2 linked regions of the Arabidopsis thaliana genome follow. The protein of the gene in region 2 interacts with the protein of the main gene of each other region in a pairwise test. Each region holds a gene or a part of one and is shown on either strand. Other genes may lie near its edges. The genes, in order: AT1G65000 and FBA8.

Region 1 (11,804 bases), on a different chromosome or scaffold from region 2:
CTGCTTGTACTCTTCTTTTTAAGCAGGTTTCCGAATTTCCGGAGCAAAGGTTTCTTCTTCTTCATATGTTGTTCCTTTAAGAGCAGATTTCCGGAATCTTCAGTGTGGTCTGTTAAAGAAAAGCCATTGCTGTACTGATCCATGTTCTCACTACTTTCTGCTTTCGAATCAACTTCCTCTTCCACAGAGTCGAGCTCGGTCTCTCTCTCTGGAGATACTTCGCTTTTTTCTATCTTGTAGCTATCCCACATCTTGAATTCAGACTCTTTCTCTACATTTCTTTCTCCTTCAACTCTGTGCGCTACCTTATGAATTGCTGCTCTTTCACCCATCAAATGTTTATCAATTGCTTCCATTGGACTTTCTTGTATCATATGTTCTCTGCTTCTCTGTTGATAATGATCAGTCTTTGTCTTTTCGTCACCATTACTAGCACCGTTTACTTCAGAAAACTGAACCAAGTCATAATCTTTTCCGATGCTGTTTAGCTCACTGTTCCCATGCTTTGATGGTTCTTCCATTTTCTCAAGGGCAGCAGCTTCCCTGCATTTTAGCTCGGTTTCTTTTTCAAGTAAACTCTCTTTCAGCTTCGACAACTCCTCTATTTTCTTTGCTGCTAAAGCATCCTGCGTTTTTAGCTCTAGGTTTTCTTGAGTAACTCTTTGAAACTCACTCTCCTTTTCAAGCCAACTTTGCTCAAGATGTAACAACTCATCAATCTTTTTCAAAGACGAAGCCTCCTTGGCCTTAAGCTCCTCGTTTTCATGAAAGACACCCTGGAGTTCGTTCTGCTTATCAATCAAAGTCTGTTTAAGATTTGTCAACTCTTCAATCCTCTGGAGGGACAAGGCTGCTTCAGCCTTGAGCTTCTCATTTTCAACAATGGCAGCCTGCAGCTCCTTTTCTTTGTGAATCAAACTTTGTTTCAGATCTGACAGCTCGTCTATCGTCTTTAGTGTTGAAACCTGCTTGGACTTCAGTTCCTCATTTTCGCAGACAACAGCCTGTAACTCATTCTCTTTAATGAGCAAACTTGCATTAAAATTTGATAACTCTTCTATCTTCTTTTGGGCTAGAGAGTCCTTGGATCTAAGGTCCTCAATCTCCACGACCATACCATGCAGCTCATTTTCTTTGTTAAGAAGATCCTCTTGCACCTTTGACAACTCCTCAATCTTCTTAAGATAAGCAGTCTCCCTTTCTTTGAGCTCCTCTTTTTCATGATTAGAAATCTGGAGTTTGGTTTCTTGATCAGATAAGATTTCATGCAACTTTGACAACTCCTCAATCTTTTTAAGATAAGCAGTCTCTCTTTCTCTCAATTCCTCATTTTCCTGAACAACTGTTTGCAATTTGCTCGCTTTATCGACTAAGCTTTCATTCAATTCTGACAACTCCTCTGCCTTCTTAAGTAATGTAGTCTCTCTTTCTCTGAGCTCCTTATTTTCTTCAGATATGTTCTGCAGATTGGTTACGTTATCAGCCAAGGTCCCATTTGCCGTTGACAATTCGTCAATCTTCTTAAGATAAGCAACCTCCCTTTCTCTGAGATCCTTACTTTCTTCAGCAATGTTTTGCATATTGGCTACATTATCAACCAAGTTCTCATTTTCCTTTGACAACTCTTCAATCTTCTTCAAATGAGAAGCCTCCCTTCCTCTGAGCTCCTCAGCCTCTTGATCAATGTGCTGCAGTTTGGTCTCTTTATCAACCAAGCTCTCATTTGCCACTGACAACTCCTCGATCTTCTTAAGATACGCAACCTCCCTTTCTTTGAGATCCTTACTTTCTTGAACAATGCTTTGCAGATCCGTTACGTTATCAGCCAGACTCTCATTTGCTACTGATAACTCCTCAATCTTCTTAAGATAACCAGCTTCCTTTTCTTTGAGATCTTCACTTTCTTGAACAATGCTCTGTAATTTGGTTGCTTCATCAACCAAGCTTGCATTCGCCGTTGACAACTCCTCAATCTGCTTCATATGAGCAGCCTCCCTTCCTTTCAGCTCCTCAGCTTCTTGAGTAATGCTCTGCAGCTTGGTTTCTTTATCAACCAAGCTTTCCTTTACCTTTGACAACTCCTCGATTTTCTCAAGTACAGAACCTTCCCATTCTCTGAGGCTGCTGATTTCTGCCGTGACATTCTTTAGGTCTTCTTCTTTGTCCAACAAGCTCTCTTTCAGTTTCATGCTTTCAGCTTTTGCTTCTCCAAGTGTTTCCTGCAGATACTTTACCTCCCCCTCAGCTACTTTGAGATTATTTTTAAGACTGGCTTCTTCTTCCTTTCTCGCACATGCATCTTCTTCGCTTTCTTTGAGTAAATTCACAAGCCTGCTTACTTCTTCCTGCGAAGACGAATTTTCTTCTTCTGATTTCTTCACACAACCCATCAGATGAAGTTCTTTCTGTTCCCACCCAGCCTTAGAGTTCTCAAACTCGTTCTGGATACTATCTACAGTACTTTTTAGACTATCTATTTCATTTCTAGCATCCTCAAGCATTTTCTCATACTTTTCGTTTGTCTCCTTTGAAGCCAACTTCAAACTGTCAACCTGGGATTCACAGTTCTTGAGCTCCTCTTGACATACCAACAACGTCGCCTTCGCTTCACTTGATTCAGTAGAAGCTTCCTGCAAAGCCAACGTCAAGCTCTCCATATCTTTCTTGCTCTTCTCTTCTTCCACCTTACATCGTTCCAACTCTATCGAAAGTTCTGTCCTTTGATCCAATAGATTCTGAATATTTGATGTTGCAGCCTTTTCATTGTCCAAGGCCCTAGTTTTTTCCTCTTGGGAGATTTCAAGCTCAGATTTTATTGATTCAACAAGATTTTCCAGCTTAGAAGCTTCTTCTTTTGCAATGCAAACCTGGCGTCCATATTCCTCAAGATCCGTTCTCTGTGCTTCGATTGTTTTCTCTAGCAACTCAATCTTTTCCTTTTGTGCAGCATTATCTGACTTTGTCTCATGCAGCACATGATTTAATTCAGCAAGCTGTTTCATAACTGATTCCATAGACTCCGAAGCAGATGACTTCGATCTATTTGATTCTTCAACTTCTTTTTCAAGTTCATGAACCTTGTTCTTCCATTCTTCTACTGAGCTATTAGTGCAAGATTCAGCCATTTTAGCAGCTTCAAGATCAACTTTAAGCTGTTCAACTAATCCTTCTTGCTCTTTCAGACTACTCTCAAGGATACTAACTTTTTCAAGCTCCCCTCTCAACAATTCAATCTCAGACTTCAGTTTAGACACTATCTCATTACCTTCAATAGCTTCCTTTTCTTCCTTTGAACCGAGCAATGCCTTTAACCGCCCTAATTCAGAAGCAAGAATCTCAGCTTTCTCAGCATGAATTTCAGCAATCTTCGTCGCTTCCTCAGCATGGCTAAGCGCCTTGTTTTTAGCATCAGCGGTCATAGACAATTCATGTTTTACCCTCTGGAGTTCTTCTGTGGTGGAGAGGAGAGCTGAGATATCCAACGCATGCTGACTTCTAATAGACTCTAGCTCGTTCTTTGAAGTTACGTCCTTTTTCTGAACAGCTTCAAGTCCAGCCTGTTCCAGTTCAACAGCTCGGAATTTCTCAACCTCGAAACTCTCCTCAGCTCGTTTCTGTGCTGCCAATGCTTCTTTAAGTTTCTCATTGGCTTCTTCAACAAGTTTTTCGGATTCTTTAAGATCATCTATAGCTTTAGCTTTATCTTTCTTGAGCAATTCTATTTGCTCATCAGCTTTCTTTAAATCCTCCTGAATTTGATTCAGTTGTGTCTGCAGCTCCGTTCCTTTTACCAACCGCGAATGCACTTTCTGAAAATGTCAAAGAATATGGTCATCATCAATGTCTTTTAAAGCTAATGAAAACCAAAAAAAGATTCATATATCAGTTGGAGAGAGTTCAGTATCTTGCCTCGGGTGTAGGAATCCTAGAAGGTCGACGGTCAGGAGTAGGCTTTGAGTTAACGGTTGGAGGAGAACGGTCAAGCGAAAGACGAGTATTTGGCACCGGGGAAGCCGAATTGCTATCGGATTTAGAAGCAGAGAGTTTACTCAGTCTAGGAGGTGGTGGTGATGGTTTACTACGAGGAGTCTCCATCAAACCAGTTCTACAGTAAACATGAATCAAGACAATGTTACACTAAACATCAATAAAAAAAAGTTTTAAATTTGTGGATCTAACATTATTTTACCAAAACAAGAGTAATTAAGTTGCTAAAAATCATAACTTTTCACCTGACTAAATCAACTAAGTTCCCAAAAGTCAAAACATTTACTAGACTCAAATCAATTCAGTTACATTTACTAGACTAAATCAACTACATTCCAATCAAATTAGGATTAAAATGATCAACTCAACAATTCATCACAAGAAACAGATCCAACTGTCAAAATCAAGAATCATATCAGATCCACTTGTAATGAAAGTAGAAGAAAGACTAAAAGTACTCACTTGGTTCTAGATGCCATTGTTGTTGCAAGAGAAGAGCTTCAAAGAAAAGAGAAATTGAATTGACAAAAAAAGAGTAATAAATGCAGCTAAATCCTCAGCATTGCTGCGAGAAGTCAGATCGATTTCATGGTCTTCTTCTTCTTCTTCTTACAGGACTACAACAGCACAAAGTCTTGAACTTACGATTAAGGGTCTTGTTAGAAGAACACAAAGTCTTGAACTTTAGGCAAAAGAATGGTAGGAGAGACTAATAATGAGTAATGGGTTGCGCTGTCTCCATAGTGGTCACCCTCTCTCTCTCCTTTCTTTCTCACCGCTTTTGCTTTTTTTTTTTTTGGGGAGTAATATATTATGATGACAAAAGAAAAAAGAAGAATAATAAAAGCTGTGAGTGAAGTGGACCAAAACAAGTTGGCTTTATTTAATAATGGAGGTGAGAATAAATCTCTCTAACGATCTGATTTAAGACCAGAGAGTTTGAGATCTTGGAGTTGTGTCATGTGGACTTCATGTGCTCTACTCAATCATGTTGATTTTTTTTTTCTCTTAATGAGATCTGCTAAACTTAGTTTAAACTTTAAAGACAGTCAATTTATTAATATAATTATAATTTGTCCACATTCAAATGTTTTCTCTACCTTTGTTTGGATATCTATTGTTGACACAAAATAAGAAATTATAAGTGCATCAGAAATCTTGGTGTTCATAGAAAAGAGGGATGATAGTGCAAGATTATTTCTCATAAGTACTGTCTCAAGATTACTTCTAGATCTTCTGAAATTTGTTTTGTAAATTTTTCCACATTTACTTGCATTAGTTAATTAACCTATATGTCTGATTTAGATTTTTGTTGTTGGTGTTCATAAAAAGAATATAAAGTTTTGACTCTTTTTAAAGCAACCATAGAAACAAGAACATTCCTTACAAATAAACATAAAATCGTTAGTCGTTCCGGAATTTTCTCACGTCAAATGATTCTGACACTCCTATTCACAAAACCGACAAAAGCTGTAACACAACAGCTCACTCTGTAGCTGTGTGCAATGCAAGAAGTGGTTCAAGACAGTACCCAGCAGAGAGATCACAAGCTAAGTCTTTTACTCCTAAGAAGGCTACAATAATTTAAGATTATTTACATGATGTTTTTATGGAAAAAAAAAGGCTTATGAGAGCTCTCACTCATACATCAGTCATCATATGAAATGTGAGGGTTTGTGACACAACCTGGTGCATTAGGATCCTCTGCCCCGCAACAATCATAGAACTTGGCAGCATACGGTGGATCATCTGGTTTCAATTCATAGTACCTTCATTTATTGATTAAAAAAAACAAGTTCTAGTTAATTCCACTTCTTAGTAAAAAGTAGAAATCAAACAGATGCATCATACTCAAGTCGATTAAACATGGTTTGGAATAAATATATATTCAGTTTCGAAACACCTTAAAATTAAAATGAAATAACAAATATCAGGTACCAGCAAGAATATGAATGCCAAAACCAACAACCATAAACACCAAAATAAACTCATTCGTTGCACATAACGATAAAAGCTCAACAAAAGATAGTTAAGTCTATGCTATGTGGGTAACTACAATGCATGGAACAGAGAGAATCACAAACAGAGGAAGTAAGTAAATAACCAAAGGAGCCAATAACGGAACAGAGACACCTACGTTCCTTCCTAGTCCAAAGTTTATTACCAAGATAAAACACGCAACATAGAATCAGATGATAAATCTCTAAACTGTATTTTTCACCACTCTTTATTTATGCTATTAACCGTCGACTAAACCATTTTTTCAACTAGCAGAACAAAGTGTAGGCCACTAGACAGCTTGAAAACTTGTCGAGATAATTTTTTATCCTCAGTGGTTAAGAGTATTCGACGTTTAAGAGTGACCACAATCATTAAACAGCTTCATGATTATGCCTAAAGAGTTTGAAATGGGCAAGGCAAATACAACAGTAGCTAATTATCTGCAAAGAAGGCTAAGAGCTAGTTTCAAATCAACCAAAACATGACCTTTGACCCACAAATAGCCATTAAACTGAGATCATGATCATCTATCACTTCAAAATTATTGGCTACAAAGAATCTAAGGTATCTAACTAAATTAGCTATAGATCCAGAACCTTAATACAATAAAGTGGATGGCTTTCAAAACCCATCTCAACAATTTGTGCTTTGCCATTATAAATTAGCGAATCAAGCTGCTTGGGATGTGAGATTCTTCATTAGTGAATAGATTTAGGGTTTGTAGGAGACATAACCTTTTCTGGTCATCGTGACGACGACAAACGAAGAAGGAAGGATGAAAACGGCAAGAGGAAGTTTCGTTTGAAAGATCTGTGTAGCTTTGTTTGCACCTTTGGCACAACTTCTCCATCTCCTTCTTCTCCATTCTCGAAGAACACTGTAATCAATTTCCTAATTTCTACGGCAAGTCAAATGGATCCGATTCCGGTTCACCGGAAGTTTGGTATTGCCTTTCGATTCCGGTAGATTAAATCAGTAATCTACGTTTTAGCAAAGATGAGCTGTTTTTGCTGTATTGACTTATGGGCCTTAATGGGCTTATTGGGTTTAGTTTTTATTTTTATTTTTATAACTTGGCCTCATTTTTCTGATAGTGAAATGTAGGATTGAAAAGCATAAAAACATTATAAACAAAATAGCTCAAAACTTTTTTTTGTTAAATAATTGTGATATAATAAGAAAAACGTTTTGTAGTTTTTTTAATTTTGAATTATTTTTTCCACATGCATCAAATATAACATACACATGAAAATCAAATATAAATGTATGATAAATATTGTGAATGGTAAAAATAATAGAATCACGTTATGAAAAATGGTATATTATACATCATCGATTGGTGTCTGATAAGTTTGGAGGAAACTTTAGCAATAATACAGGTTTTCTCTATTTATTCATTAGCTAATAGGATTATTTATACAAAAATCATAACTTGATTAGCAAGTTCTTTACATTTATGATAATATTAAATTTTCTATCTAACAATAAGAAAATGTACACAAATATTAATTTTTTATTAATGATAAAAAAAATATTTATCTTGATCCCGTAATTATAAGATTTATCATGAACTATCGATATCCCGATCTTTCCCTTCCCACTTCCCGCAAATTTATATATGGTAACACGTGTAAGATTGGACAAGCCTTCTAAACAACAATTTTAATGAATCGATCATTTTTCGTGTATATATGTAAAAGTGAAAGAAAAACAAAAAAATCAATCGACCAGATAAGAAAACATGTCGGAAAATGGAGTTAAAATTATCATCAACACTAGACTAGACGCCAAAACCTATAAACAAAAAAAAAGGATAGAAACACTATTGTTGTGCAGTTTCTTTCACATTACTCCGTAGCTCAATGGTTGGTTAGCGTTTAATAACGCCTTCCTCTCTGCGAGTTCGAGTTGAGTCGCATGGTGGTGGTGGTGATGATGAAGTTGATGAGGTTGTTGTTGATTAGAGTTTAAACCAAATAAACCCTAACCAAAAATAAATAAGGTATTCTTAAATACTTTTTTTTTAATTGTTTCATAAATGATCAAATTCGAATCGAATCGTACAACAGAAGCTCTGGTGTTGAATCGCCATGAGGTTTTTGCAGATCTGAGGTTTTTTCTCGAGAAGTAAGAGAGATCTGGAATTTGGCGACGATGAGTTACGGATGGGCGATATACGAAGGCACGGTGGTGATAGCTTCACTAAGTCTCTTAGGATGGGCAGGTTTATGGTTTCTTAATCGGAGATTATACAAAGAGTATGAAGAGAAACGAGCTTTGGTTCAAATCATTTTCAGTGTCGTCTTCGCTTTCTCTTGTAATCTATTGCAGCTCGTTTTGTTCGAGATCATACCTGTTCTCTCTAGAGAGTAAGTCTTTTCTCGAGTAATCCACTCTGTAGTTTTTGATATTTAGCTAGTTTTGGTGTTTTCTGGCATTGGAGGTTTTTGGAAACTTTACTTATTTGTTGTCTTCTAGATTGTGTTACTTACTTGGTCCTCCTTTGTTTGCAATTGCTTAATTTTGTTGACTTCTTACCTAATTGGCAATGATTTTGAGATTGAGTGTAGATTGATGGAGTTATTGTCTTAAGAATTTTTTTACTTGACAATTTTTTTGGTGTATGTGTAATGTAATCGAGTATATAAACTGTGTGGTAGCTAGCTTCTCTTGTTTATTCCTTTATGTCATGTGGAAATTTGATACTTGATACTAGATGCTTATATCATTGAGCTTTTGAGGTGTTTGTCATTGTACGTAATACTTATATTGGAGGGGGAATTCATGGCATTATGTAGCAATTGTTTAGTTGGAATATTAATTTAGAGTTTTAAGCCTTGGACCGATCTTTTGATGATTTTGCAGGGCAAGGATGATAAACTGGAAGGTGGATCTTTTTTGTTTGATACTTCTTCTGGTTTTCATGTTGCCGTATTACCATTGCTATTTGATGCTTCGTAATAGTGGTAAGCCTTATTTCATATGTGAATTTTCTTTGCTCTTATCACTTCTTGTTTAGAAGGTAATCACTATAATTGGTTAATTCATTGCAAGTTTCTTAGGAGCTCCTGAAACTATTTTTGTTATATAATTGCTACTCAACTGAGATTTCTTTGAGAACACTTCTGTGCAGCTGTGTATAAACAGTCTTTGGCCCATCATTTTGATCTTATATCTTGAAAAATCTTGATCCTTATCTCTGGCTTTGTTGCTTCTTTTATAAACACTCATGAGTTCAATTAGATGGAGATAAATGAATTTGAGAAAGCATCACTTTATTGTTCGCTGCCGCATATTACAGCATTTTGTGTGAACTGTCTGTAATTTTTTCAAGTTAAAATAACATTTCAGGTGTAAGAAGGGAGCGTGCCTCTGTTGGGGCTTTCTTATTCTTGTCAGCATTCCTTTACGCATTCTGGCGTATGGGAGTTCATTTCCCTATGCCTTCAGCAGATAAAGGTATTTATTTCAAACTACTGTAACCATTCCTTTCCTTCCAGCATCGCATCGTTATCTTGCTAGTTGCTACTCATTTTCCTCTTCTAAGTTCATTTATCCCTTGCAGTAGTGATAATTATAAACTTTAAGAACTAAGCTTGGTACCAGTGTTACACCTAATTTAATTTCTGTATAGATGAATATGGCATATTTATCCATTGTTATATGCACCAATATTGATAATACTGACTACTGAATATCTAGATTAGAGGGTATGATGTTGTTTGCAACGAAAGATAATGAGAGCTAGATAAGAGTGTATAGCATTACCGATAATGAGAGCTTGATAAGAGTGTATAGCATTACCTTGCTGAAAAATATCTTCAAAGAAAAAGCTCAAAATGACTAACTATTTATACTTTTCTTGTCTACTTCTGATCAGCACAAGCTTCTGCATCCAAGCATTCTCATTTCTGGGTTTTGGTTTTTGGATTTTATTGTCTGTTGAAGTTGTTGACTTAAAGCTCCTATTTCTTTGAAGGGTTTTTTACCATGCCTCAGCTGGTCAGTAGAATTGGGGTCATTGGTGTGACCTTAATGGCTGTCTTATCAGGATTTGGAGCTGTAAATTTACCCTACAGCTATATATCCCTCTTCATTAGGTACTAATATTCAACTCTATTTCCGTAAGCTACTAGATAGTGTTCTATTCATTATTTCCTTTTTCTAGTTTATATTTAACCAACAATAAGAGTGTTTCCTTATAGGGGAACCATTCAATGGGCTACATGATAAGCATACATAATTAGCACTGAATATATATAGTGCCACCTGCATGTCCTTCGGAGAGAAAGCATAAAAATGTAGAATGAAAGAAGAAAGCTTAGGAAAGAAAAAATGCAGATTTAATGCGACAAATATGCTAAGAAACTCCACAAAATAGGAACTTATATTCCACATTTTGAACTTGAATGAAACAAATGGTGCTGGATGTTCAGTTGGGATATTTTTATAAGCTATTTCCAGAAGCTTGTCATTTCTGTGATTTACATATTGGGTTTTGACTGGATTGGCAGGTTTATATAAAAGATATTTCTTTCTAACAGCACTTTTGTTCCTCTCTCATATAGGGAGATTGAAGAAGCAGATATAATATCTTTGGAAAGGCAACTGATTCAGTCAACTGAGACGTGCATAGCAAAGAAGAAGAAAATTATTTTGTGTCAATTGGAGGTGGAACGAAATCAAGGATCAGAAGAGGTTTGTTTTCGTTTTATCCTCATATGATTGTATTGTCTAATCTCATATTCTTTATGTTTCTGTTCTTGTGTCATAGTTCTTATAAAAGCCTTTGAACAAAGACTATTTCATACTTATGTGTCAAACTGCTCATTGTACTCTGAAGTCTCTGAACTGACTGTATCCTGACACTTTTCTTCGCATTAGTAAACAACCAGAAAAAAAGAATTTATTTATTTATTTATTTATTTATATATTTACATTAGACTGATAAAATAATGATGCTGTAAATGGAACCAAAACTATGGATAATTTATTTAAGACCGGAGAGATTATTGTCGGTCTCGAGCAAACAATCCATGGTCTTGGTTCCTTGCTCAGCTGCACGTCCTTTTCTGAGTGGGTACCTGAGTTCTTATTTTCATTGCTGTTATCTCAAACTTCTGTCTAATAGTTTTTAGTTAAACAATATGCCATATTTTCAGTGATGATTTTGGGAGCTAATAATCTGATGCTTTTTTTCTCCCAGAATCAGAAACGTAGCTCTTTCTTCAGAAGAATTGTTGGGACTGTTGTGCGGTCGGTTCAAGATGACCAAAAGGAACAAGGTCAGTTTATGTGTTCTTGATTTTATTTGTAGTTGTATTCCACAATTTTTATTTTTTTTGGTGTAAAACTGAAATGAGTATACTCTGAATGCTTTACTTTGAGACAATGTGAAAATTGTTTATCATTAATCATAATTCATAAGTGGCTTTGGCTTGAGGAGAATGAGCCTCGTCAGCGGTAGTTGAACAAGAAATTTTGTTAATATGCTTTATTTGTGCATGTGTTCTGTGTCTTGATGGTGCTGTTAGTAACTAGAACAACTACAACAACAAAAGGGAAAATTACTGTCTAAACCAAAAAAGTAATGTTGATGCTTACTACAGGGGAAGGCTTACGTCTATTTTTGTCCATAAATATGTTTAGTTGACCATGAATCTTGTACATATTTATTCACGTAGACCAACTTGAGATCAATTTTTTCCTTGTTTGTTAGAATTAGTATTTTTTATTGAATAGTACCTTAGCACTTTTTGCGAAAATGAACTTTTAGCATTGGATAATTCAGTTTGTTAAATGTTTTCAAGTGTACA
Region 2 (12,396 bases):
AACATTATTTTGATTCTCCTAGTCAGTTGATATTCGATTATAAGCAGAGAAGACACATGATCTAAAGTCTAAACCAAAAAAAGTCAAGTTAATTAGAAGATGATAATAAAACCTTCATTTTGACCCACTCTTTATTGTAAACATGCTACAATATATGTTATTGAAACCATTAGTCATATCGATTGACAAAATACAACATATGCAATACTATACAAGAAATAACATAAATGTGACGGCAAACGTAGAATAAATTAATTTGAAGAACATGAGAGTCGTTACCATTCCTCGAGGATCTGCTTTTAGGCCCACTGTTGGATTGACCCTACCATGAGATATCTCGACGATTCTCAATCCAAGCCGTACATTTGTATGAGTGTTACGACGAATTTATGTTTGGTCCCCTATCGCCACCGGTTCTTCTCTGTAGCACTAACGATCAATCATCATGCCTTTTGTTTTAGGTAATCATCTATATGCTTTTATTTGGAAATCATTTTTGTTATGTTATTCTATTTTAATTCAGTACTCAATATGAAAATTTCCAATCTGTAAAGTTGTTTTTTATTGACCTCGCTCACAATATATCCATGAATACTTTGTATTGAGAATTCATTTTGTCATATGAATATGGATATACTCACTGCAACTCTATCTGTAACAATGTGAAAACAGGTGTAAATAAAGGAATTTCCATAGTTAGAATAGATTGAGATAGTATATTTTAGCGGCCTATAATGATTTCATAAGCTTTTTGTTCTCTTAAATGTCTTTTATTTTTGTTTGCATCTTTGAAGCTGTCTCGGGAGTAAGTAGAAAGATAATAAATGCTGCTCATATATATGATTGGGCAGCTATGGTTGGCATTTTGCCTTTTGAAATTCAGTAAAGTGAAAACAAACTCGTTAACCATCTCACGTATATGCTTTTCTAAATTTGTTATATATATTCGATCAGATTTTAAATTGCATGCATATGATCGCATTATTGTATTGATAGTCTATCATCATATGCTTTTTGTAATCTATATATACATTTTTGCAATTATTTTCTGAAATAAATCTTCAAGTTGGAACTTATTTACAAGGAATATCATTAACATTAATTATCATCAATTAATTAATATTTTTAATTATTAGCATTTCCTTATCTAATATATCTCCATCAATTCTAATTACTTTTAAAAAAAAAATTAGAACTTTATTAATATTATATTTTATTAAAGATAAATATTATAGTTATTTAAAGTTTAGAAAATATTTAGAATATTTTAACGAAAAAACGTTTAGAATATATATTATATATGAAATCTATAAAATTAAATAACTATTAGGGACAATGTCCCACATCGGAAGTTGAGTAGGATCTTAAGTGGTATATATAAGATATGGGCCTCTCCTCCTATTGCCAATTGGTTTTAGGTTGGAAGCCCACAGTCTAATATGGTAGCAGAGCCCGGTCCGCACATACTCAACCCGATCCACATCGGGCCGGCCCAATACTTGGCCCGCCGATCCATGCCCAAACATATCGAGATCAATGGCTAGAAGAGCCATCATCTCGAGGGGGCGTATTAGGGACAATGTCCCACATCGGAAGTTGAGTAGGATCTTAAGTGGTATATATAAGATATGGGCCTCTCCACCTATTGCCAATTGGTTTTAGGTTGGAAGCCCACAGTCTAATAATAACTATTTCAAAAGAAAACTTTTAAATTGATTTGAATTATAAATCTTTTAATAAAAATATTATTAGAACAAAAAATAATAATGTTTAATTTTACCGAACTGGATTAAATGGTGGGACATGTTTAAAATATTATAATGTATGGATTTTGTAACAATTAAATAACCATTTGAAATAAAATTTTAAATTAATTTAAATTATATATCTTTTAAATTAAAGTATTATTTAAACAAAAATAACAAAAACAAAATGTTTAATTTCACTAGACGGGGTTAGATGATAGGACGGGTTTGGGTCGACAGTAATACGAGACGGTATAGCACGGGTGAAATCCATTAGATATGTTTAGTTTCACGGAACGGGATTAGATGGTAGGACGGGTTTGAGTCGATAGTAATATGAAACGGTATACCACGTGTGAAGTCGTAGATATAACAATCAAAATATAATTATATTATCTTAAATACTAAACAAAACAATTATAAAATAAAAATATAATTAAATTTTAAATTATTTAGTTATAATCTAGATTTTAACTTAATGAACTGTACGTTATTGTTCTTATATTTTAAACAGTAAAAGTTAAACATAGTAATTGTATACTAAATAATATACAGATATAAGAGTTGTACATTCAGAAAATACAAAATATTAAATCATATATATTTTTAATCGACTAAACAAATTATATTTTTATTCTTAAAAGAACAAAATAGTTCTGCGGTGTACGGTGTACCGCGAGTTAAAACCTAGTGTGTTATATGATGATAATTGAAGAAGCCTGAACGGTGAATCCGATCCTTAAAACTAGACCAGAGTTAGATTGGCACATTGTGACAACACTAACATAAATCATTATACATTATCTCGTTAACTAATTGTTTATTTATGATTACATTCTGTCATCGCATTATTATTGTTATGATGAAGCTGTAAATTAGTCTTGATAGTATCATTAGTATACTAAAAACTATAAAGTATCTACACATTTGGCTTTTACTTTACAGCCGTCATCTTTTTTTGAAAGATGGATATTGGATTCATTTAAAATTCGAGAAAAACGCCAAGTGGCAAGCCAAAAACTTCCAAATGAAAATACTTTAGAAAACACCAAAATTTGCATCTACAATTGAATGATTCACGTTCAAAAGAACCATTAAATGAGTCCTGAAATTGACCGTTACCGTATTAATGTCAAAAGACCAGACGACAAAAATCAATACTTAGAAATTAATTAGAATCTTTCATATTATTAAAAAGAAATCGACGAGAAAAAGTTAAACCTAAATATTAAAGAACCTTTTTTTCAATCTCCTTTGTTTAAGTATTAAAATATACAAAGTTAAACCTAAATATTTGTAACTACTACTAAGCAACTAATAAAACATCAAATTAAATCATAAAATACCCTTTTTCAAATATGTTAAAAAATCAAAACCTCCTTGAATATTCGCATCCAAACCAAGGATTCACATTCAAAAATTCCTCGTATCAATTATCATTCGCATATATATCCAAACAAACCCCCAAATATATAGGATTAGATCAAGGCTAATAATTTGAACCAAACATTTTTTTTTGTATTTTGTTGTATATAAAAAGAGAAAAACAATCTCTAGACGACACGTAATTAAAAGTGTATTGTTTTGAGAAATATTATACGAACTTAACGGATACGTAAAACAAACCATTAAATAATAAACCCAAAAACAGAAAAGAGAGTGAGAAAGCAAACAAAATATAAAAGAGTGAGAAGAAGAGGACAGAGAGAAGAAACCATTACCACACATACAGAGAGAAACAAACCCACTCCATTAAAAACCAAAGCTTTAAGCTTAGATTCAATCCCAAGTCAGTAAAAATAGGGTTAATCGAAGAACCCCACCGGAATTCCACTGAGGAATTGCATCAGTCGCGTTCTTGTTGCGGCTTGAGGAAGAAAAAGAACACCTACACTAACCAAAACAAGAACAAGGACGAATTGAAACCGAAGATGACAACAACGAATGAAGCTACTACACAGCCTCCTCAGCAGATGATGAGCTTGAGTTTTAGTAGTCAGATGTCTAAAGAAGACGAAGAGATGGCTCGTTCTGCTCTCTCTGCTTTTAGGGCTAAAGAAGATGAGATTGAGAAGAGGAAAATGGAAGTTCGTGAAAGGGTTAAGGCTCAGCTTGGTCGTGTTGAGGAAGAGACTCGTCGTCTTGCTAGTATCCGCGAGGTTTGTTTTCATTTTTTGCTTTTTAAAGTCCAAAACTTTAAGATCTGAGAGATTTTGTTTTGAGCTTGGTCTGAAAATTACACTCATGCAAGTTGACTACTTTCTGTGTGTTTGTCTTTTTTCTGAATTGAATTTTGATACTGTTTATGTGGTTTTAGAATATTAGGGTTTTGAAAGATGTGAAATTGTAGATTTGGACTCAGGGGATAGGGAAAATGGGATTTTTTTGTCCTTTTTAAGAAATTTGATGATTTGTGAATGATTTATACAGAAATGGTTTAGCTTTGTAAGCATATGATTTTGCATGTACTCAATTTGGTGAACAAAGAACAAAAATTTGTGTTTTGAGTAAATGGGTTTTGTAAGTCTATTGATATGTGAAAGCTAGGATTTGGACATGAACTTGTGCTTCTTGTAGTTGGGTTTACAAGTTCTGTTATCAGGAAGGTGTTTAACTTTGTAGAAATTATCATGTTTTTGTTTCAGGAGCTTGAGACAATGGCAGATCCCATGAGGAAGGAAGTTAATTGGGTGCGTAAGAAGATTGATAGCGTCAACAAAGAACTCAAACCATTAGGCTCTACTGTTCAAAAGAAGGTAAGTACACTTGTCAAAGAGCAGTTGCTTCATTCTCACTACCTGTTGCTATGAAAAGTTTTGCTCTTTACCAAACCCAAAACTCAAACCTAAATGTCAACTGAATCGATTTGTGGTTGTTATGGTGTTGACTAAAAGATTTGATATCGCATTAGTCAACTTTAAAGATTTGTTTTTCAATGAACAAAACCTGAAACTCATGTTTTTGTTTTATGTGATGATATGACAACAGGAAAGGGAATACAAAGAAGCATTGGATACGTTCAACGAGAAGAATCGTGAGAAAGTTCAGCTGATCACCAAGCTAATGGAGGTTAGTTTCGAGTTGTTGGTTATAGTTTTGCTGAACAATGAGAACAAATCCGAGTTTTACCGCGCTTATTAATAACTGTATTGATTTGTTTTATGTTTGCTTAATATTCTCCCTGGGGAGATGGGACAGTTGGTTGGAGAAAGCGAGAAGCTGAGGTTGAAGAAGCTGGATGAGCTAAGCAGGAGCATAGACACAGAGAGTGAATCTATCTCACAAGACAAGACCATACCAATCAAGAACTAATTTGGTGTATTTTTTCTATTTTATTTTTACGTTTTGGAATGTTTTCTTAGTTTCTGGGTGTTTTAGTTTTCTTTTGCTATGATTTGTGGGTTGATTTGTAAAATTATGATGGGGTTTTTCGTGTTTTTGATTAACCATTATTGTTAGGGAAGGGAAATGGGATAATGCTTCTTCTGCTTAGGCTACTGAATGCTAAAAGGGTTTGTAAGTTTGAATTTTTTTCTTGCTTTGTTTTTTCTAATATTATTTTATTTGTTATATTGTTTAGCTTTATTTTAATTTCTTTTCCCCCCCAAATTATGTTTAGCTTTTTGAGAAAGTAGCCTCTCGCCGTCGAGCGTGTGTGGTGGGTGTTTTGAAATTGAAACGACTTCTTCTTGTCAAAGTAAATCATGACCTTGACCCACACAATAGACTCGATAAATTCCAATTATTGTTTTCAAAGACAAAAATGTAAAATGATATTTTAGTAAAATGGAAAGAAAAACACTTAACAAAATGGGAAAGATATGATATTTGGTTGTAAGATCTTCAAGTATTCCCATTTTCCAAATATTGTTTTCCTAATCTAGCAAATTCCTTATTCTTTGAATTACACTAAATTATTCAATCGAGCTGGTAAGATAGAAATATTCGATCGTACAAAACACAGCAATGTGCTAATCTACAAACTATTTGGTAGACATGATCTGGAAAGCAAATGCTTTTTTATTTATGATATTCAGTGGAGAACCAATTTAGTATACTTTCATACAGTAGGCCCTTTGAGGCCCATCTTACACATAAACAGAATATCATAAATTAGCTGTGTATTCTCATTACAGCATTTGGCAATAAGCTGGCTTTTGGAATGCTTTTGAAGACAATGAAAACACACTACAGTCTTGTTCATATTCTTGTGTCTGCAAATTAATTGAGAAAGTGTATAACTTTCCTATGTTTCTGAATCTTGTTCGAGGCTCCTTTCAGCTTATGGTTGTAGCCTCATATAGCAATTATGCTCTCACATACTAGTCATATTGTTGAAAAAATGAAACAGGAACGCTTGGTTCATACTCTTCATAGACAGATTTTTATGTGTTTAAAAGACGAGATTTCATATACGAATCAGAGAACCAAATACAATAATTTAGGCTCAAGAAGCGGTAAATCAACAGAAACTGATTTTCAAATTCCACAAGAGGTTCAACAGAAATAACCTCAAATGACTTTTTTATTTGGGCGTGTTTTTAAAATACTCAATTCTAAAAAACAAAACCCAATCAAAATCAAAACACAAATCCAAAAGGAAAATGAAGAAAAAACACTTATAATCCGATAATGTCAAGTAGAAAAACGAAAAATCCCTAGAAATATATCCAGGAAGATGACAAACGTCACAATTCAACCCGTGGACGATGCTCAGTACTTGTAATCCTTCACGTGAAGGCTCTCAGCTGCTCCATCACCAAGCTTAGCGTCACCCTTGTAGGTTCCGAGTGTGGCTTCAGAGTTAGCCTTGCACCTCACATACAACGCCTCTTGAGCTGCCTTGACATTCTCCTCTTTACCTGCCCATGTCTTCAAGGTAGACTGCTGCAACGCACGTCCGAATGAGAAAGACAATGACCATGGCTTCTTGGTCTTCAACTGGTTCATGGCGTTCAAGTTCCTGGTAGCTTCTTCCTCGCTCTGTCCTCCAGATAAGAAGACAATGGCTGGAACAGCTGCTGGGACGGTTCTCTGAAGGGCACGGACGGTGTGCTCAGCGATGACTTCAGGTGAAACCTTGGGGCTGTCAGATCCGGGAGTAACCATGTTAGGCTTCAAGAGTGTACCCTCGAGCAAGACGTGGTGGTCGCTAAGAGCCTTGTAGCAAGCTGCAAGGACACGCTCAGTCACGGCAGCACACTTCTGGATGTCATGGGATCCATCGACTAGGATCTCAGGCTCGACAATTGGTACAAGACCGTTCTCTTGGCAGATAACAGCGTATCTAGCTAATCCGTAAGCGTTCTCATGAATGGAATGCTCAGATGGCTCGTTCTCTCCGATCTTGAGGACTGCACGCCACTTGGCGAAACGAGCACCAGCTTCGTAGTACTTCTTGCATCTGTCACCGAGACCGTCAAGACCTTGAGTGGTGGTCTCACCGTCGGTTCCAGCTAGCTCAACGGTACCCTTGTCAACCTTGATACCGGGAAGAACTCCTCCTTCCTTCAAGATATCAACGAAAAGCTTACCTGTACAAAGAAAACATCATCATCAATAAAAAACAATCACAAAACCACATTACAGAGTAAAACATTAAGTAATAGTATTGATCAAGTTCATACCATCGGAACTCTTTTGGTACAGAGTCTCTTCGAAAAGGATGACACCACTGAGGCATGGAAGAGCACCAGGGGCGGTGAAGAGAAGCTCACGGAGGTTACGTCTGTTGGTCTCAACGTTCTCGACGTTGATGCTCGCAAGACGCTTTCCAATGGTACCAGTGGACTCATCAGCAGCCAAAATACCTTTTCCAGGTGTGCCGATGTAGGCAGCGTTGGCGATCAACTCATCTATATAGGTTTCAAAAATGGAAAAACTTAAATCAATCAATCACCATAAGAGAACAACAACAGAAAAAGTTCCAGATCGTGAATACTAATTAGATCCGTATTAAAACCGATGAGAACATAGTTAGATCTACGCTAGTTTTTAACATAGGAATCATCGACTGATTCATTTCAGCTTTCGAAACCAAGCTAAGTTCACGAATCAACTAGATCTATACGATTAAACACGCTAATAAGAATCAAAACACGGGATAACGAATCGAATCCAATACACGAATCTAAACATGAATAAAGAACTTAAGAGAGATAGAGATCGAGATCTTACCGGCGAATTTGCTTGTGAAGGCAGACATAGTTGGACGGAGAGATCGAGAAATCAGAGAGAAATGAAAAGAGATGCGGAAGAAGGCAGACGAGTGGTGGACCAGTAGAGGAAAAGGGTTGGTTTTATAGCTGCGGATGAGAGTCTATTGGTTGGTGAAAATATTAATTAAGGGTCAGATCTTTGCATGTTCCCCAAGAAATAGCTTTTTCAGCCGTTGGATCTCTAATTGGCAATGTTGGCTAATCTTAATTCTACCCCTTAATAGCGTGGATTCTCAGCAAATTAGCTGAGGGGTAATTTGGTAACTCGTAGTGTTATTTAAGGAAAAGCATGACTTCGGCCTTACGACGGCCCAAACCGTCAGACGAATTGTATAATTGAGATCGTAAGATAATAAATTACATTAATCATTGATTATAGTAGTTTTTTAATCGTAATAAACACTTAATAGTTGACTACGAATCTCAATAGAATATTCTTATTGGAAATGTTATGTGTTTCTAGATTCACAGAAAAAGTGCGACTTTGATATCTCCGAACATAGAAAATTAAGATCTTAGATTTAGATAGAGACATATAACCGGAAAACAGCTGCGACTCTTCAAACGCATGAATAATCAAAAACTATCAAAGTCTTTTGCTTTCTACCGACACAGTATGTATGTAGTCTAGAACTTTTTTGTTGCTATTGTTGTTGTATACATTTTGAAGTTTTAAAGGTGTCTTTTAGGATCTTCAATGGTTTTATTGTTTCTTATCTTTTAGGTTCAAGTGATTATAAAATGAAACATCTTATTATTATAACAAATTATGAGATTTTTACACGTATTTTCAACATTTTTTTAATATGTGTATATAATTTTTTAATAAAACCTCGTTGACAAATAAATAAATTTTAAAAAACTCTATGACATACTAAAAATAAAATATGATTATAAATGGAAACAACTGTTACGATATGCCATAATATCTTAAGAAAGAAACTGATATAGAACATACAATATTTAAAAAGAAAATAGGGGAAAAGAAGGAAATATACTAAAAAGACAAAGAATATATGTATATTGACATGTAAATAGAAACACGGATGTGTATGGTCCATTTAAATTGTCTCCAAGTCGATTAAGATGGTACATCTAGAAACTTCGTAATCGTCAATTTCTATTTTTGTGATAATTTTCCATTTTCTCCTATAAACATATCCATCAGCATTATCATTTATCAACACCACTCTGTTCCTCTATTAGTATTTTTCTCAGTTTTACATAAGTACAATATTACTTTATCATGACATTTTACATCAAACAAATGTCTTTTGTAAAATCTCTGGTTTTTAAACAACCCAAAAAATAAAATCCGAAAATGCTGATATCAATGCTAAAATAATAATAAGGACTGAAGTTATTCTCAAACGTGTACTACAAAGTTTCACTCGAGCATTGCTAAAATAAAACAAGATTATGAAAAAATAAGACACAAGAGGATGAATCTGAAAGGATTCATGACTTGGCTCTTGGCACATCTAATAAACATAAGGAAGTATTCTCCAGGGGACAAGTCTAAGATACTCTGCCCATATCTCCTTGTACTTCTCTGCACATCGAACCTCGTCTCTTCGTTCTCTCCATATCAATAGTATCAGAAGGTATATCGGGTAGAAATATGGAACCGGAGAACTGAGAATACACAAGACAAAATATCATAAAAACAGCTTTGGGAAATGAACTTGAAAGCTTTAGACTTTTCAAATGATGGTTAGAGATCAATATCTTTAAGTCAGCCAAATCAACTTCGAACGTTTTGATATTGGTATTAGTTTCTACATGACTTTTGGTAGCTGTAAGATGAACTCAAGCAGAAGAAGTTACCTTATTCCACATGGCAAACTGAAGGACAGAGCAAGCATCAAGTCGCCAAGGTAATTACAGTGCCTTGCAATTCCCCTGTCATATATACAAAACAGCACCTAAGTTATCGGAAATGTGTCATTGCGGAACTTTCAACTCTTTATTCCCAGCATGATGAACAATCAAACACAGAGATGGCGAAACCAAGCAAAGAAACAAGAGAAGATAAATATAACATACCAATAGCCTGAAACCAGTAACTTTCCACCAACTACCACTGGAGGCTTGCCCCATATTGGTGTTTTTGGGTTCTTCTTAAAGATATGTTTTTGTTTGTTAGCTCCTCGAAAAACCATGTACCTGCCAAAGAAGAAATAGTGGGTTTCTTAGTGTAGATATGTAAGAATGGAAAATAACCCAATGTCTCAGAACTTACCCTATCAAGAAGACAAGGCAATTGACTACAATCGCAGGAACTGTTAGTTCTACTTTGTTGTGCAAAAGCCACCAGCCCTGTACCAGAGAGAAGACAATTCAGTCACAGAGTGATCAAGCATTCTAGAACAATATTGTTTCCGAGAATAACTGTAACATGCCAAGAAGATACTGTCAATAAGATAAATTAATATCTTGTTTGTGTTCAGGCTCACAGTTACATGCCTGAATGCTAAAAGTGAAAGGAATCCACAGGAGATCTCCAAACACTAGCATGAAGCCTAGTCTCTCTGCAATTATGTCCCACCTGAAAAGAGTAAAATCAAAGTAGATGTAATAATGCAAATGGTCATTTTTTGGTAAGACAAATGTGTTTCCTTAACACGCCATGAACTTACGTAGAGGTCATGTATTCTTCATGAACAAAGTAGTCCAATATATATAACTGCAATTATAAAACTAATCAAAACTAACAAAACACAGATGATCATAACTTCAAGAAGCAAGATTTGTAAGTAAAAACCAAATTTACCGCACAGAAGATCTGGTAAAGAATCATCGACTGACTCAAGGAACCATCCTGCACACTTTTTGCCAGAATAGAGAGATTGATAAGCAGCCATCCCATCATCCCGGCTCTGACAAAGAAAAACCTACACAAGGAATAACTCCCATTCATCATAACCATGCATAACTGCTGATTACATTATTAAACTGCCACTCGATTGAGTACGGAGCAAACTGAAGCAATGATGTAGCCTTGGCTGACAAATAGAAGAAAAAACAGAAAAATGGATTACTTGAGATCAATGCTCATAAACTGAGGATTCAGCTGTATTCCAAACCACCTATCACATGAAACAAACAATATGAGAAAAAATTGAAGCAGTTGTTTGGAAGAGATAAGTGAAAGACAAAAACCAGAACTTCTAGTTTCAGTAGAAAAGTTCAAAAGCTAAAGTCACTGCGGTTAAAAGGAAAAAAGAGGAAGCTACAACCGTTCTAGGAGAAATTACTCAACACTCTACGAAGTTCTATAGAATCATCTTGTCCAATTCAGTGTTTCAAACTCTATATAGTACCAGATTATTTCTTAGTTTTGCTCTTGCAGGAGTCAAAATATATAACTTTTAACAACATTTTGTGTAACAAGAAAGTATCAGATCTACAATTGTATTATGTTAGTACCAGTCATGTACAAGATTTCCTGAGACATGAGGCTTTAGGGAAGAACCCTTATTCGAGGAACTTCGCCCAGTAACATACAATGCTAATGTCACCTGAGAATATTAAGAGATATCATGGAGATTACAAATCACACCACCAAAAGCAAATCTGATGGTAACACAACTAAAATCAAGACACCGGACTAAGGATTGAATCATCTTACCAAAACACAGAAAATAAAAGTAGCTGAGAGTAACTCAAGTCCTCTATCCGCAACCACCTACAAAACATCTCAGTGGAATGAGTGTGAGAAAGCAATTGCAATCGGATTCATATAGCATATAGCATTCGGATTCATAGAAATACAATCGAAATCTTGTAACTACACTTACAAGAGGTGATACAATGCCAAGTTTTGCACAGATTCCCAAAATAGCTACCAACAATATTAGTGCCAATAGACCTGAAATTGAATTAACAAAACTAATGGAAATGAACTTTCGAGCTCACAGACTCTCAGGAATTGTAGAGAGAGTAAATCAAATCAAATATACCATTGCATCGGTAACGAAGTTGAGAGCCATCTGATAAAAGGACGCCGCGAATAACTTTCCCGGGGAGAATTTCTCCGGCAACGGCCAAGTAAACGAAGTAAAACACCAGCACATAAACCTAAAATCTCGGAACGAATTTAACAAAAGCTGATCAAAAGCGAACAAAAATTTCACAATAACAATTGCAACAGTCAAAAGCTAAAGAGACAGCTCACAGATTGCAATGATGGAAGAAGAACACCGAGATCCATATCTAGCAGCATTAAGCAGAAGAAGGATTTTCAAAGGAGAAGATGAAGCATTCGAAATCGTTTGTATCGCCTTTTCTCGCTTTGTTTAATTTCAGATGACAGAAGCAACAATTTTCAATTTTTTAGTGGGAAGCTCGTGGACTCTGATGAGCTAGCTCACTTGTGTGATTCGGGAAAATTACCAAAAAGAACCCTTAAACTCTTCATTTGTTGCAAGTAA

The links.
Region 1: the proteins of FBA8 (region 2) and AT1G65000 interact in a two-hybrid assay, tested with the Arabidopsis thaliana proteins (one large-scale study listed by BioGRID).

The regions. Positions count from the first base shown.
Region 1 is NC_003070.9:24,142,205-24,154,008, reverse strand, and holds AT1G65000 (F-box only protein), read right to left. Parts: upstream 7,085-11,804; 5' UTR 6,854-7,084; coding exon 6,723-6,853; intron 5,757-6,722; coding exon 5,636-5,756; 3' UTR 5,208-5,635; downstream 1-5,207. Other genes in the region: AT1G65010 (WEB family protein (DUF827)), read right to left, coding at 1-3,809, 3,910-4,105, 4,450-4,466; GTG1 (GPCR-type G protein 1), read left to right, coding at 8,143-8,357, 8,854-8,954, 9,340-9,447, 9,968-10,088, 10,557-10,686, 11,195-11,273.
Region 2 is NC_003074.8:19,620,925-19,633,320, forward strand, and holds FBA8 (Aldolase superfamily protein), read right to left. Parts: upstream 8,281-12,396; 5' UTR 7,951-8,280; coding exon 7,923-7,950; intron 7,601-7,922; coding exon 7,373-7,600; intron 7,280-7,372; coding exon 6,459-7,279; 3' UTR 5,824-6,458; downstream 1-5,823. Other genes in the region: AT3G52920 (transcriptional activator (DUF662)), read left to right, coding at 3,677-3,904, 4,391-4,501, 4,734-4,814, 4,935-5,057; FK (Ergosterol biosynthesis ERG4/ERG24 family), read right to left, coding at 9,445-9,598, 9,791-9,865, 10,010-10,129, 10,206-10,282, 10,430-10,511, 10,603-10,649, 10,737-10,857, 11,005-11,052 and 5 more.